Linked DNA regions of Nothobranchius furzeri. The protein of the gene in region 1 interacts with the protein of each later gene in a biochemical or structural test. Links are inferred from orthologs where the notes say so. Each region holds a gene or a part of one and is shown in the gene's direction. Other genes may lie near its edges.

Region 1 (3,655 bases):
ATGTTCCCTCAGCAGACCAGGGCCGAGGACTGTGAGTTCACTACGAGACTTGTTTTCTCTTCTACATTTGTTCGTGTTTTGACTGATTAAGGATCACTTATGTTGAAGGCTGCAGCATCAGCATCACCGAGCGAATTAATTCAGGTTTCAGTTAAAAGGACTTGGTTTTGGTGTTTTAAAGCTTTTCCAGGACTGAAGTTACCACGTTTGTTAGCACAAGCTTATAGGTGACCTACAAGAATCCCTAACTGCATCTTTAATGAGAGACTTTGTCACCCGAAGCTGCAGAAGAAACCCAAGTCTCCATCTTGTTGTCAGGCTCCCAGCTGTTACTTTGCTTTGGGTTTCCATTACACCGGCCGGTTTGCACTGATCCTGTTGCACCTGAGCTCTGCAGTAATTAGGTTCAGGATCTGAATGTTTGAGCTCAAGAACGAGTCTGTCACACCACCACTGAAGCTATTATCTGTGAAGAAATCTGCTCAACTTCCTGTCAACAATGTCCTCTTATTATTATTCTTGTTTTTAACAATTGTAGCATTTATTTTTCATGCTGCATGGCTTTGGGTTTTTGTTTTCAAACTTGCTGCAATGAAGAGATGATCCCAATATCCTCCATAGGTTTGTTTTCTGGTAGCAAGAGCGAAGCTGAGATGAGAAATCGGATCTTGTGCAGAAGTGCGTAAATGTTGCTAAATGGAGGCTTTTAACACAGGAAACCACACGCTGTCTCTAAAGGATACGAGACACCTGAGAGAGCCTGTTTGTGCACGCCAGGGTCACACCATAACTGATGATTTTGGAAGCCCTTTCTTAATAACGGCGGCCTTGCAGCTTGGTTATTTTATTTATTAGCTTTGCTGTATTTTCTCCTCCAGGTTCTGTCAAGGCTTTTAAATTTTCTCTAACCTGTTTATCGCCACCTGGTGGCCAATGTGAGGCTGAAAGAAACTGAATGCCTAGTTTTTGGATGGTCTGGAACTGTAATGAGTTCAACAATGGGTTATATTATTGTCTGGTTTTAGTCATTCCTCGCTCCGACTCTGAAAGTTTCAATCCAGCTCTTTGGGAGGAGCAGCGGAAGCAGCGAGCTCAGGTGGCCTTCGATTGTGACGAGGACAAGGATGAGAGGGAAACGCCCCCAAAGGTCAGTGACGCACATGTTACCGTTTGTGTTGTATGTTAAATGTCGCCCTAATAATGAGGTCAAACAGAAGGAGAGAATTAAATTTAAGAAGATGGATTGGTTACAGAATGACAGAAGAAAGTCAAAATAATTGGCGTGATGTACAGATTATGTTCAATATTAAAATAAATGTAAAAATAGCTGAAACAAGGCAGATGAATGTATTTAGGTAAGAATACAAGCAGCAGCGCTAACAGACTACAAGCATTGAGTTTTAAATCCAGGAAGGTTTTTCTTTTATTAAACCGATAACTCAAACAAAAGGATTACCGGGGATGTGTTTTAGCTTCTCAAAAAGGAAGTGGGTGCAACGCTGATGGTGTACTCCCAGTCTGTCTCCAGAGTAACTCGTTGTTTAGTCACGGCTGAAAAGAAACAGAAAGTTGCTTCACAGGTTGAGCAGGTTGAAGGGTGTGTGGGGTAATGCCGGGGGGGGGTTGTTGATGGTCATACAAATGGGTCTTAAGTTACTAATTGTTTACCAGCACAAATGGAACTCCCTCCCTCCCCCATAATGCATTTGTAGCAAGATATCGTCACACCAGTTAGAGTGACTACAGCTCAGACCGGCTCAGCAGCAGCTCTTTCCTCTAAACAGTCCCAGTACCGCGGACGTCTGTTTCCCAGCTTTTAACCAACAAAATTACAATAGAAGAGACATCAAATATTAATGTTTTTACTATACAGATGTCGATTTAAAACTAGATAACTCAATTCTATATTTTTATGTCTATTATTTTACATAAAATAGAATAAAAACATTTTACTGGGAAGGACCCTAAATTTGGGCTATTAAAGTAGAAATCTGGAGTTTTTCCTCCAATGGTGGAAAGATGTATTACACCTTAAGCCGTTCAACCCCCTTCCATATTTAGAAACACCTCTTACATGAACACTTCTAGTTGGCCTTCTAAATATTTACACTTTGTATTGTGAGCCCAAGGACCGAAAACCCATAGATGACAAGCGAACTTGTGGTCTAGTCAGTGAGTTGCTGGTAGATGAACGGAGAGTGCGCGATGAGGTATAAGGTAGAAGAATGTTTGTTAGGTAGAGGGGTGCACGTTTATTTAGAGCTTTTAATGTTAAGAGAATTTTAAATTGGATATGAGAATCAACTGAGAGCCAATGCAACTCAGGGTGAACCGGTGCATTATGTTGAGAAAGCGGAGTCTTGGTGATAACAAGTCGCTGAGTTTTTCACCAGCTGTAGTTTATGCAGGAGTTTCTGAGAGATACCAGAAAGAGAGAGCTGCAGTAGTCAAGACGGGATGTGGCTAATGCATTAACTAAATTTTGGCATCGGTCTGAGTAAGAAATGGTCGTAGCCGACTGATAATGCGCAGTTGCTAAACAAACAACAGTTTTGACGTGAGCTGTGAAGTCAAATTACTATCCAAGATGACACCCAGACTTTTAACCTGTGAAGGAGATGGGATGTTATTGTCAAATAGAAAAGAGGGGAAAACTGAGTTAGTAATCTATAGATTTAGTTCCGACAAGAAGAATATCTGTCTTGTTGCTATTTAGTTTTAAAATATTATGAGAAAACCAGGTTTTTATCTCATTCAGATAGTTGGCCGGTGAAGTAATGGACAGACATTTGGGGAGGAAGATAGATATAGCTGGATGTCATCAGCATAACAGTGGAAAGTGATGTTATGTTATGATTCCTAAGAATATCCCCAAGAGGGAGAATGTAAATAATAAACAGAGGGCCCAGGACAGAGCCTTGTGGGACCCCGCTGGAGACAGATGTGGAGCGTGAGTTAGGCGACTTAATTTTAACAAAGTGCGAACGGTCCGATAAATATGAGGTGAACAAAGATGAAGCGACACCGCGGACTCCTATAAAAAGACGCTGTAGAAGAATTAAATGAGAAATGGTATGGAATGCAGCTCATAAATCAAGAAGAATTAATAAACTAATTATTATATTTTCACCATTCCAGTTTCAGCGCTATGATTTCTCTCCTGATTGCAGCTTTAAAAGGAAGCAGAAACTTCTCCAGTCAGAAGTAGAGATGTAGTTGTTGGCCCCAAATCAAGGTGATGTCACTGTAGTGTCTGTAAAATGTTTATATAATGAGTCAGACCTATTCATAAGAAAACTAAAGCTGTCGGTAAGGTGTTTGGGGAAAAGGCTGGAAGATCTAGTTGTGGCAGGTTTATGACCCAGATGGGGTCCTGACTTTGGCTCTGGACCGAATTCTGTTTGTTCAGTAAGGCCACAGGTTTGTACTCAGAAGCACATTTAACGGTGATGGAGGAAGCAGAAGTCTAGTCATCCAGGCAGCAGATTTCTGAGCGTTGTTCTTTTCCAGGAGGGAAACCTGAAACGTTACCCAACCCCTTACCCGGACGAGCTGAAGAACATGGTGAAGACGGCTCAGTCGGTGGCTAACAGGCTCAAGGACGATGAAACGAGCGACGAGTCAGGAAAAGAGTCCAAACCCGAGAGGAACCACA
Region 2 (3,755 bases), on another chromosome or scaffold:
CAGTACCGGCTGCGTCCACTGGGGGAGGACCGAGCGCCGCCTGCGCGCTGCAGTACACGACACACACACACACACACACACACACACACACACACACACACACACACACACACACACACACACACACACACACACACACACAATGGGAGGGATACAGGAGATAGGTAGAGCTAAAGCGGCAGACAGACAGATGTGTGATGCTCAGACTGAGGCCGTTCCTTTCCGCCCGAACCAAGGTAAACTTTTACCCACCCTCGTTTTCTTCTGCTCGCGGTCGCGTGGAGCCATCGTAGATGCCAACTCGCTGCGTGAACACCTGATTCCCCAGAAGCGGTGCCGCAGAAATTGAGGCTCAAGTGCCAACAGATCCTGTTGAATTGAGACAACACGTCGACATGCACGCAGCCGGAAAAAGTGCCCTCCTCAGAGTGCGTCAGAGCACGGATGCATATGCTGGATGTGGATATGGTCGCCCGTTGGAGACGGAGACGGATTTGTGATTATCACGCCTCACAATCAAGACGAAGGTTTGAGCGCAGAAGAAAATCTGTATCCTCGCCTCCTCATCATCTTCCAACAAATGTGTTTTTAGGAGGGCTGAGGCTCTTTTGGCCCTTTACGGATGTAAGTATGGATGTCAGGATGAAATAATGGTGCTTAGTGAGAGGATTTCGTGCGAAACGTGTTTTGTTAATGCCGTCCAAGCATTAATATTAATAATAATAATAATAATAATAATAATAATAATAATAATAATAATAATAATAATAAGCGTGTGAAGTTTCGTAATATGCACAGCGATCATTAATATTAACACGTCCCTTTCTCTCGTGTTGTTGTCTAAATCCTATCCTCTCCTTTTCTCGCAGCTTCTGAGAGGAAAAGTCATTCGGATTCATCGGAGCTCCAGAATAAAGCGGAGATCCATCCAAATGAAACACAAATATAGATCTCACCTCATAAAATGGCAACCACGGGTGACCACGGAGGATTAAAGGACGCGTTTGAGCGCAAACCCTCGGTCGTGGGGGAATGAGCCACCTGATGGCCACCAGAGAAACGGAGGAGAGACTGTTTTGGTGTCGCTTGTTGACTCGGTGATTTATGAACACATAAAGCGGCGCTGCAAGTTTGACAGAGCGTCTGCGTAACAGGCTATGCCACTGGCCCTTGGATTTGTATTATCCTTATGTTTATATTTTGCTTCTAATGATGTCATAAAATCTTGGGTGCTCGAGCCACGACCATTATCTTCTATCATGTAAGAAGCTACCCAATATGGACCTTTCTGAGGAGTGTTTGTTGTTCTCACTTTCTCTTATTCCCGGGAACGGTTGATGCCTCGTGCCCTCGCGTCTCTGCGCGCGCCGAACTGCAACTTTTCTCCCCTGCTCTGCATCCACACCTTGTCGTGGCGCTTACTGCGCCGCTGATCGACTGAAAATGGAATTTGCGATGGTGGGTGCGGACGGAGGGTGCAACAGTCACCTGCCTTACGGATATGCCCAAGCTCGCGCACGGGAAAGGGAGCGCGAGAGGGAGCGCCAGGCTGCCCAGTCGCGAGCGGCGGCTGCAGCGGCCGCGGCCGAAGGATGCTCTGGTGCGGAGGGAGGAGGAGGAGGAGGAGGAGGTGGTGGAGGCGGTGGTGTAGGGGGGTCCACCTCCACCGCCTCCTCGAGCGCTCATCTCCTTAACAATCGCCAGCATCAGTCTCGCGCCGCCTCCTCCTCCGCGAACATCAGCAGCAGCGCCGCCTCGCGCCCCTCCTCCTCCTCCTCCCAGCATCAGCAGGAACCCGAGCAGCAGCACAGAGTTCTCAGAGAGCGGAAAAAGCAGCGCGGCGTCGGACGGTGGAGGCGCAACCGGAGCACTCTCGGCGGGGACCTGCGCCACTCGGAGCTGGCGCTGCTCGGATCCGAGGAGGACATCATGATAGAGGAGGAGGAGGAGGAGGCCGAGGGAGCGGAGGAAGAGGAGGAGGAAGAAGGGGAGGCGGCAGAGGGGGTTCGAGGCAGCAAAAGGTCGAGTTTTCTGTGCAACATGGATGATGAGGAGACGGTGTCGATCACCGACCGGCGCCCTCAGTCCGGCTACGAGAACGTTTACAGCGAGTGCGGCTGCTGCGAGCGGGTGGTCATCAACGTGTCGGGGCTGAAGTTTGAAACTCAGCTCAAGACTCTCACTCAGTTCCCAGACACCTTGCTGGGAGACCCCGACAAGCGCATCAGGTACTTCGACCCGCTGAGGAACGAATACTTCTTCGATCGAAACCGGCCGAGCTTCGATGCCATCCTGTACTACTACCAGTCAGGGGGGCGCTTAAAAAGACCCGTGAACGTGCCGTTTGACATCTTCTCAGAGGAGGTGAAGTTTTACGAACTCGGCGAGGAGGCGATCCTCAAGTTTCGGGAAGATGAGGGTTTTGTGAAAGAGGAGGAAAAGCCTCTGCCGGAGGACGAGTTCAAGCGCCAGATCTGGCTGCTGTTCGAGTATCCGGAGAGCTCGAGTCCTGCCCGGGGCATCGCGGTGGTGTCCGTCCTGGTCATCGTCATCTCTATTGTCATTTTCTGCCTGGAGACGCTGCCAGAGTTCAGGGATGAAAAAGAGTACCTGCAGCCACGACACAACTCTTCTCAGCCGGACCACGGCTTCACACCCTTCAACGACCCGTTCTTCATCGTGGAGACGGTCTGCATCATCTGGTTCTCCTTTGAGATTATAGTGCGCTTCTTTGCAAGTCCGAGCAAAACAGCTTTCTTTAAAAACATTATGAACACGATAGACATTGTATCCATTTTGCCTTACTTCATAACTCTTGGCACGGATCTGGCGCAGCACCAGGGCAACGGGCAGCACACCATGAGCTTCGCCATCCTGAGAATAATCCGCCTGGTTCGGGTGTTCCGCATCTTCAAGCTGTCCAGACACTCCAAGGGGCTGCAGATCCTGGGTCACACGCTGCGCGCCAGCATGAGGGAGCTGGCTCTGCTCATCTTCTTCCTGGTCATCGGCGTAATCCTGTTCTCCAGCGCGGTGTACTTCGCTGAGGCGGACGAACCCACCTCTCAGTTCACGAGCATCCCCGACGCGTTCTGGTGGGCCGTGGTTACCATGACGACGGTTGGCTACGGTGACATGAAGCCCATCACTGTTGGTGGGAAGATAGTTGGTTCGCTGTGCGCGATCGCGGGCGTGTTAACCATCGCGCTGCCGGTGCCTGTCATAGTGTCCAATTTTAACTACTTTTACCACCGAGAGACGGATAACGACGACCAGCCGCCCGCCGTGGTGGAGAGCATGCCCCCGGGATGCCCTTATTTCCCTGACTTTCTAAGAAAATTCAAAGGTTCACCCTCTGGCTCATCGCTGGGTGACAAAGCGGAGTACATGGAGATGGAGGAAGGGGTGACGGAGTCGCTGTGCGGGCTGGACAAGAGCCCCAGTAAAGGAAACGGCACAGACATAAGCAGGAAAAACAGTACTAACTCTAAATCCATTCAGACTGACGTGTGATTACAGTAGTTTATTATTATTAGTGGTATTGTTTTGTTTTCCAAAGAAGAAAAGCATCTTGTAGAGACACTTTCTGCTCAACAGCAGCGGAATCCCCTCCCCAACCCTCCCCAAACACAGGCTTTACGCACGCGTCAGAGTGCACACAGACACACACAGATTTACGCACACACATACACTCACACATAAACACGAAACTAATTGGCAAGCTCAAAAGTTTTCTCTTGACACAATCATAATCT
Region 3 (3,755 bases), on another chromosome or scaffold:
AACAAATTCATGATGTGCTGAACAGGGCATTAGCACTCGTTTCGAACGATGGTAAACGGTTGTAGCCTCTTAAGATGTCATGTGTCCAAGTCGAACTAATTTGAGCTGCTCCCCGTCACCTTGAGCTGTCTATTATTTGTAACTGAGTCCATAGTTGTAAAAACTAATTTTGGTTAAAAATTAAACATAATTTAAGTAAAAACTTAACCTATGAATGAAATAGCTAACGTTAGCATACTTACAAGCGATAGATACAACGAAGTTTAGCTTCTTACCAGAACTTAGCGACAAAATTATATACACAAATGATCTTTTCAGCTACTTTATTGATATTGTTTGAATATTACTTACTGAAACGCACTCTTAGTTGTTCTTACCCTACGCCCCTTTACTCCCGTTGTTGACAAACCAAAAGGAAGTGTTTACATTCGGTTTCCTCGATTTGGTATTAATCGTTTCTCTGCTTCACGACACAGTGACTTTTCATTGGAAATTCGCCTTATGTCCGCCCACGTCGGGACATTAAATAACAGAAACGAGCGCACATCCAAAGGGGCTCAGAGTTTAGACGTGATTGGCTGGAAAAGCACGGAAGTCCCGAGTAGTTGTAAAAAGAAAAGAAACCACTTCCGGTTATTCTACTAAAAAATAAAAGCTCACTGTTAATGTTTGGAGAAAAAATGTGTTGCAGTCATTGAAATAAATATTAGGGGAAAAAATTAAAATACCACACACACACACACACACACACACACACACACACACACACACACACACACACACACACACAGATATACACACACACAAACACACACACATATATAAAATTGCCTAGTGTTTTTTAAAGTGCACAGAATCGATAATGAATTTTAGCTCTAATGTATGTGATATCCTCTTAGACCTAAAATTCGTTATTGATTCTGTGCACTTTTAAAAACATTAGGCAGTTTAATAAACACTTGTATTTTGTTCACAATTTTAGAGGAAGTAAGCTGTTTTAGTAAGAAGTAAACAAATCTAAGGTAAATTAGACCATTCTTAAATAAATTCAGTTGGATTGGATAAGGGGCGGAGACACGCCCGGGACCGACAGCATCCAGCACTTTTGTTGATGAGAGAGGGGATAAAGGCGGCTCTGCTTTTCATTCAACTCAACGCTCAATTTAAACGACACACGCTTTAAATATAACTTTGAAACCTGTGAAGTTTGCTCACTTGTCGCACGTGGTGCTCGGTCTGAGAGCAAGGCGAATCTGACGTATGTGTTTGGATATTTGGCGCTCGTAAAGTAGACTGTCCCTGCAGCAGCCACGTTCCACGCGAAATAACGGTCTTTATCTGAGGCTCGGAGTGGCGCTCATCACGGGACGGACGCGCTTCCACTGAGAAGACAGCGATGACCAGAAGAGCCGGAGGTAGCTGTTACACACACACACACACACACACACACACACACACACACACACACACACACACACACACACACACACACACACACACACACACACACACACACACACACACACACACACACACACACACAGAGCATTCCTCGTCTAGGCTAATTCTTCTTTTGGGCGATTAGAATATCAAGTTGTGCCATATTGCACATCAGTAGGAGGTGGGTGTGACTAAAACAAAATCAGTGCGATCTTAAAATAACGCTATGGAAAATCCCAAATGAAATACAGGCTTCCTTAACAAGGAATTGATGAAAATCAGAAAGCACATCCATGATTTATTTGCTACGTTTTAATTAAAAAGAAACGCCACGGGAGATTCAAATGTTTCATTGCAGCCAACAACGAAATAGAATGCGTTTTTAGTATTTACCGCTCCATCACATCTTTTGCTGTGAGATGTGATGGAGCGGACTGCCAATCATATCAGGCTGCCATTGTTTTGGTCCTCCACTTAGTGAATGAGTTACCATGGAGATTTTTCCGGTTTCCCTCCTGTAATTACCTTATTTGGAAAATGGCCTGCATTCATTTGACTTGATCGATAGAGTTGTTTTTCCCAATAGTCTTGTGGTATTCTCGTCCCATGTGCATGTGAGTTTGCCCCAAAGCTTTAAAACAGCCATATTTGAACAATCTCAGATGAAACTATTGGTCATCTTTTTGCACCCTGCTTGAATGCAATTACAACAATTAACAGTGAACATAACAATTTTGCATTCACTTAGCCTTGTATATATATATATATATATATATATATATATATATATATATATATATATATATATATATATATATATATATATATATATATCACACATAAAGCCATTCAGAAGTCTCTTAAGAGCTTTTTTTACTTGTTTTCATGTATGACAATCAGTCCACATGTCATGACAGTAAAGAAGCCAGTTCCAGTCAATATTTCTGCAATCATGTATTCTAATATGTAGAAAAATAACAGTAATTAGCATTTTAAATGTATACTGAGTACCAGTTTCATATTTTAAAATTCTTTTCTTGAGCCAGGATGTCTTAAAATGACCCTTTACAGGGTTAACAAAAGGCCACCCAGCCCCTATTGCCCTGTGGCCACAATACTTCACTTGCAACTTCAGACTGGGGGGAACTCTGTAGAGCTGACACACCTGGTGCAATAATAATATTATTAATAATAATAAAAATAATAATAGACAATAATTTGAAATAGTGAAAGGTATAGATATACCCTATACACCTCATATCTGTTCTAAGAATAGCCTTTTTTAAATGAATTTTTGTCTTAGAAGAAGAAGAAGAAGAAGAAGAAGAAGAAGAAGAAAATATCATTTCTATAGCGCCTCTCAAGATAAAAATCATGAGGTGCTTCACAAAAACAAAAAATGTAAAAACATAAAAAAGCATTTAGAAAATGTTTAAAAATATATTTAAAATTAGCAAAAATAGACGATTGGGATTTAAAAGAAAAAATGTTAAGAAAGAGAGAGAGTGAATAGGAGCTCAGGATGTGCTGAAGAGGAAGCAGATAGAGGAGGAAGAGCAGAAGCCCCAGCACAGAACCTTGTGGGACACCATGGGTAAGAGAGGTGGTGGAGGACCTAAACTTGGAGACGGCCACAGAAAAGGAGCGCTCAGAGAAATACGAGGAGAACCACTCCAGAGCAGATCCTGATAGGCCTACCCAGTCTCTCAGCCTCTCCAGTAGCAGGTGATGGTCAACAGTGTCAAAGGCTGCAGTCAGGTCCAACAGGACCAGAACAGAACAGTCCCCTGCATCACTGTGAGTCAGAAGGTCATTAGAGACCCTAAGAAGAGCTGTTTCAGTAGAATGAGCACTAGAAAAACCTGACTGTAAGCTATCATAGATGTTATGTTGATCTAGAGCAGCTGTGAGTTGTTTAGCCACAACCTTTTCCAAGATCTTGGAGATGAACGGAAGTTTAGAGACGGGTCTGAAGCTGCTATGGAGAGAGGGGTCGAAACTCGTTTTTTTAAGAAGCGGGTGGATTACAGCGTTCTAGGCTGCCCTGGTACCAAGTGTACCGATGGGCATCCTTATGTTCTAACATGGTGTTCGTTATGGCCAAACTGCGGCTTGCACAGAAGTCCAATAACGAAACACCACTCAAGTTCAGATCAGGCGGGCCGTTCCTTCCAATCACACCCCTCCAGGTCAAGCTGTCATTGCCCACGTGAGCATTGAAGTCCCCCAGCAGGACAATGGAGTCCCCTGATGGAGCACTATCTAGCACTCGTCCCAGGGACTCCAAAAAGGGTGGGCACCTCTGAACTGATATT

Evidence for each region.
Region 2: the proteins of erbin (region 1) and kcna4 interact in a test that uses a peptide from one of them, tested with the Homo sapiens proteins (3 studies listed by BioGRID and IntAct, with this or other methods). The link is inferred for Nothobranchius furzeri from reciprocal best matches to the Homo sapiens genes ERBIN and KCNA4.
Region 3: the proteins of erbin (region 1) and arvcfb interact in a test that uses a peptide from one of them, tested with the Homo sapiens proteins (3 studies listed by BioGRID and IntAct, with this or other methods). The link is inferred for Nothobranchius furzeri from reciprocal best matches to the Homo sapiens genes ERBIN and ARVCF.

Annotation. Positions count from the first base shown.
Region 1 is NC_091746.1:65,230,710-65,234,364, reverse strand, and holds part of erbin (erbin), read left to right. Parts: coding exon 1-31; intron 32-1,025; coding exon 1,026-1,147; intron 1,148-3,510; coding exon 3,511-3,655. UniProt on the Homo sapiens protein: Acts as an adapter for the receptor ERBB2, in epithelia. By binding the unphosphorylated 'Tyr-1248' of receptor ERBB2, it may contribute to stabilize this unphosphorylated state.
Region 2 is NC_091749.1:47,038,538-47,042,292, reverse strand, and holds kcna4 (potassium voltage-gated channel subfamily A member 1), read left to right. Parts: upstream 1-1,255; 5' UTR 1,256-1,443; coding exon 1,444-3,513; 3' UTR 3,514-3,660; downstream 3,661-3,755. UniProt on the Homo sapiens protein: Voltage-gated potassium channel that mediates transmembrane potassium transport in excitable membranes. Forms tetrameric potassium-selective channels through which potassium ions pass in accordance with their electrochemical gradient.
Region 3 is NC_091757.1:31,733,617-31,737,371, reverse strand, and holds the start of arvcfb (ARVCF delta catenin family member b), read left to right. Parts: upstream 1-1,280; 5' UTR 1,281-1,415; intron 1,416-3,755. UniProt on the Homo sapiens protein: Contributes to the regulation of alternative splicing of pre-mRNAs.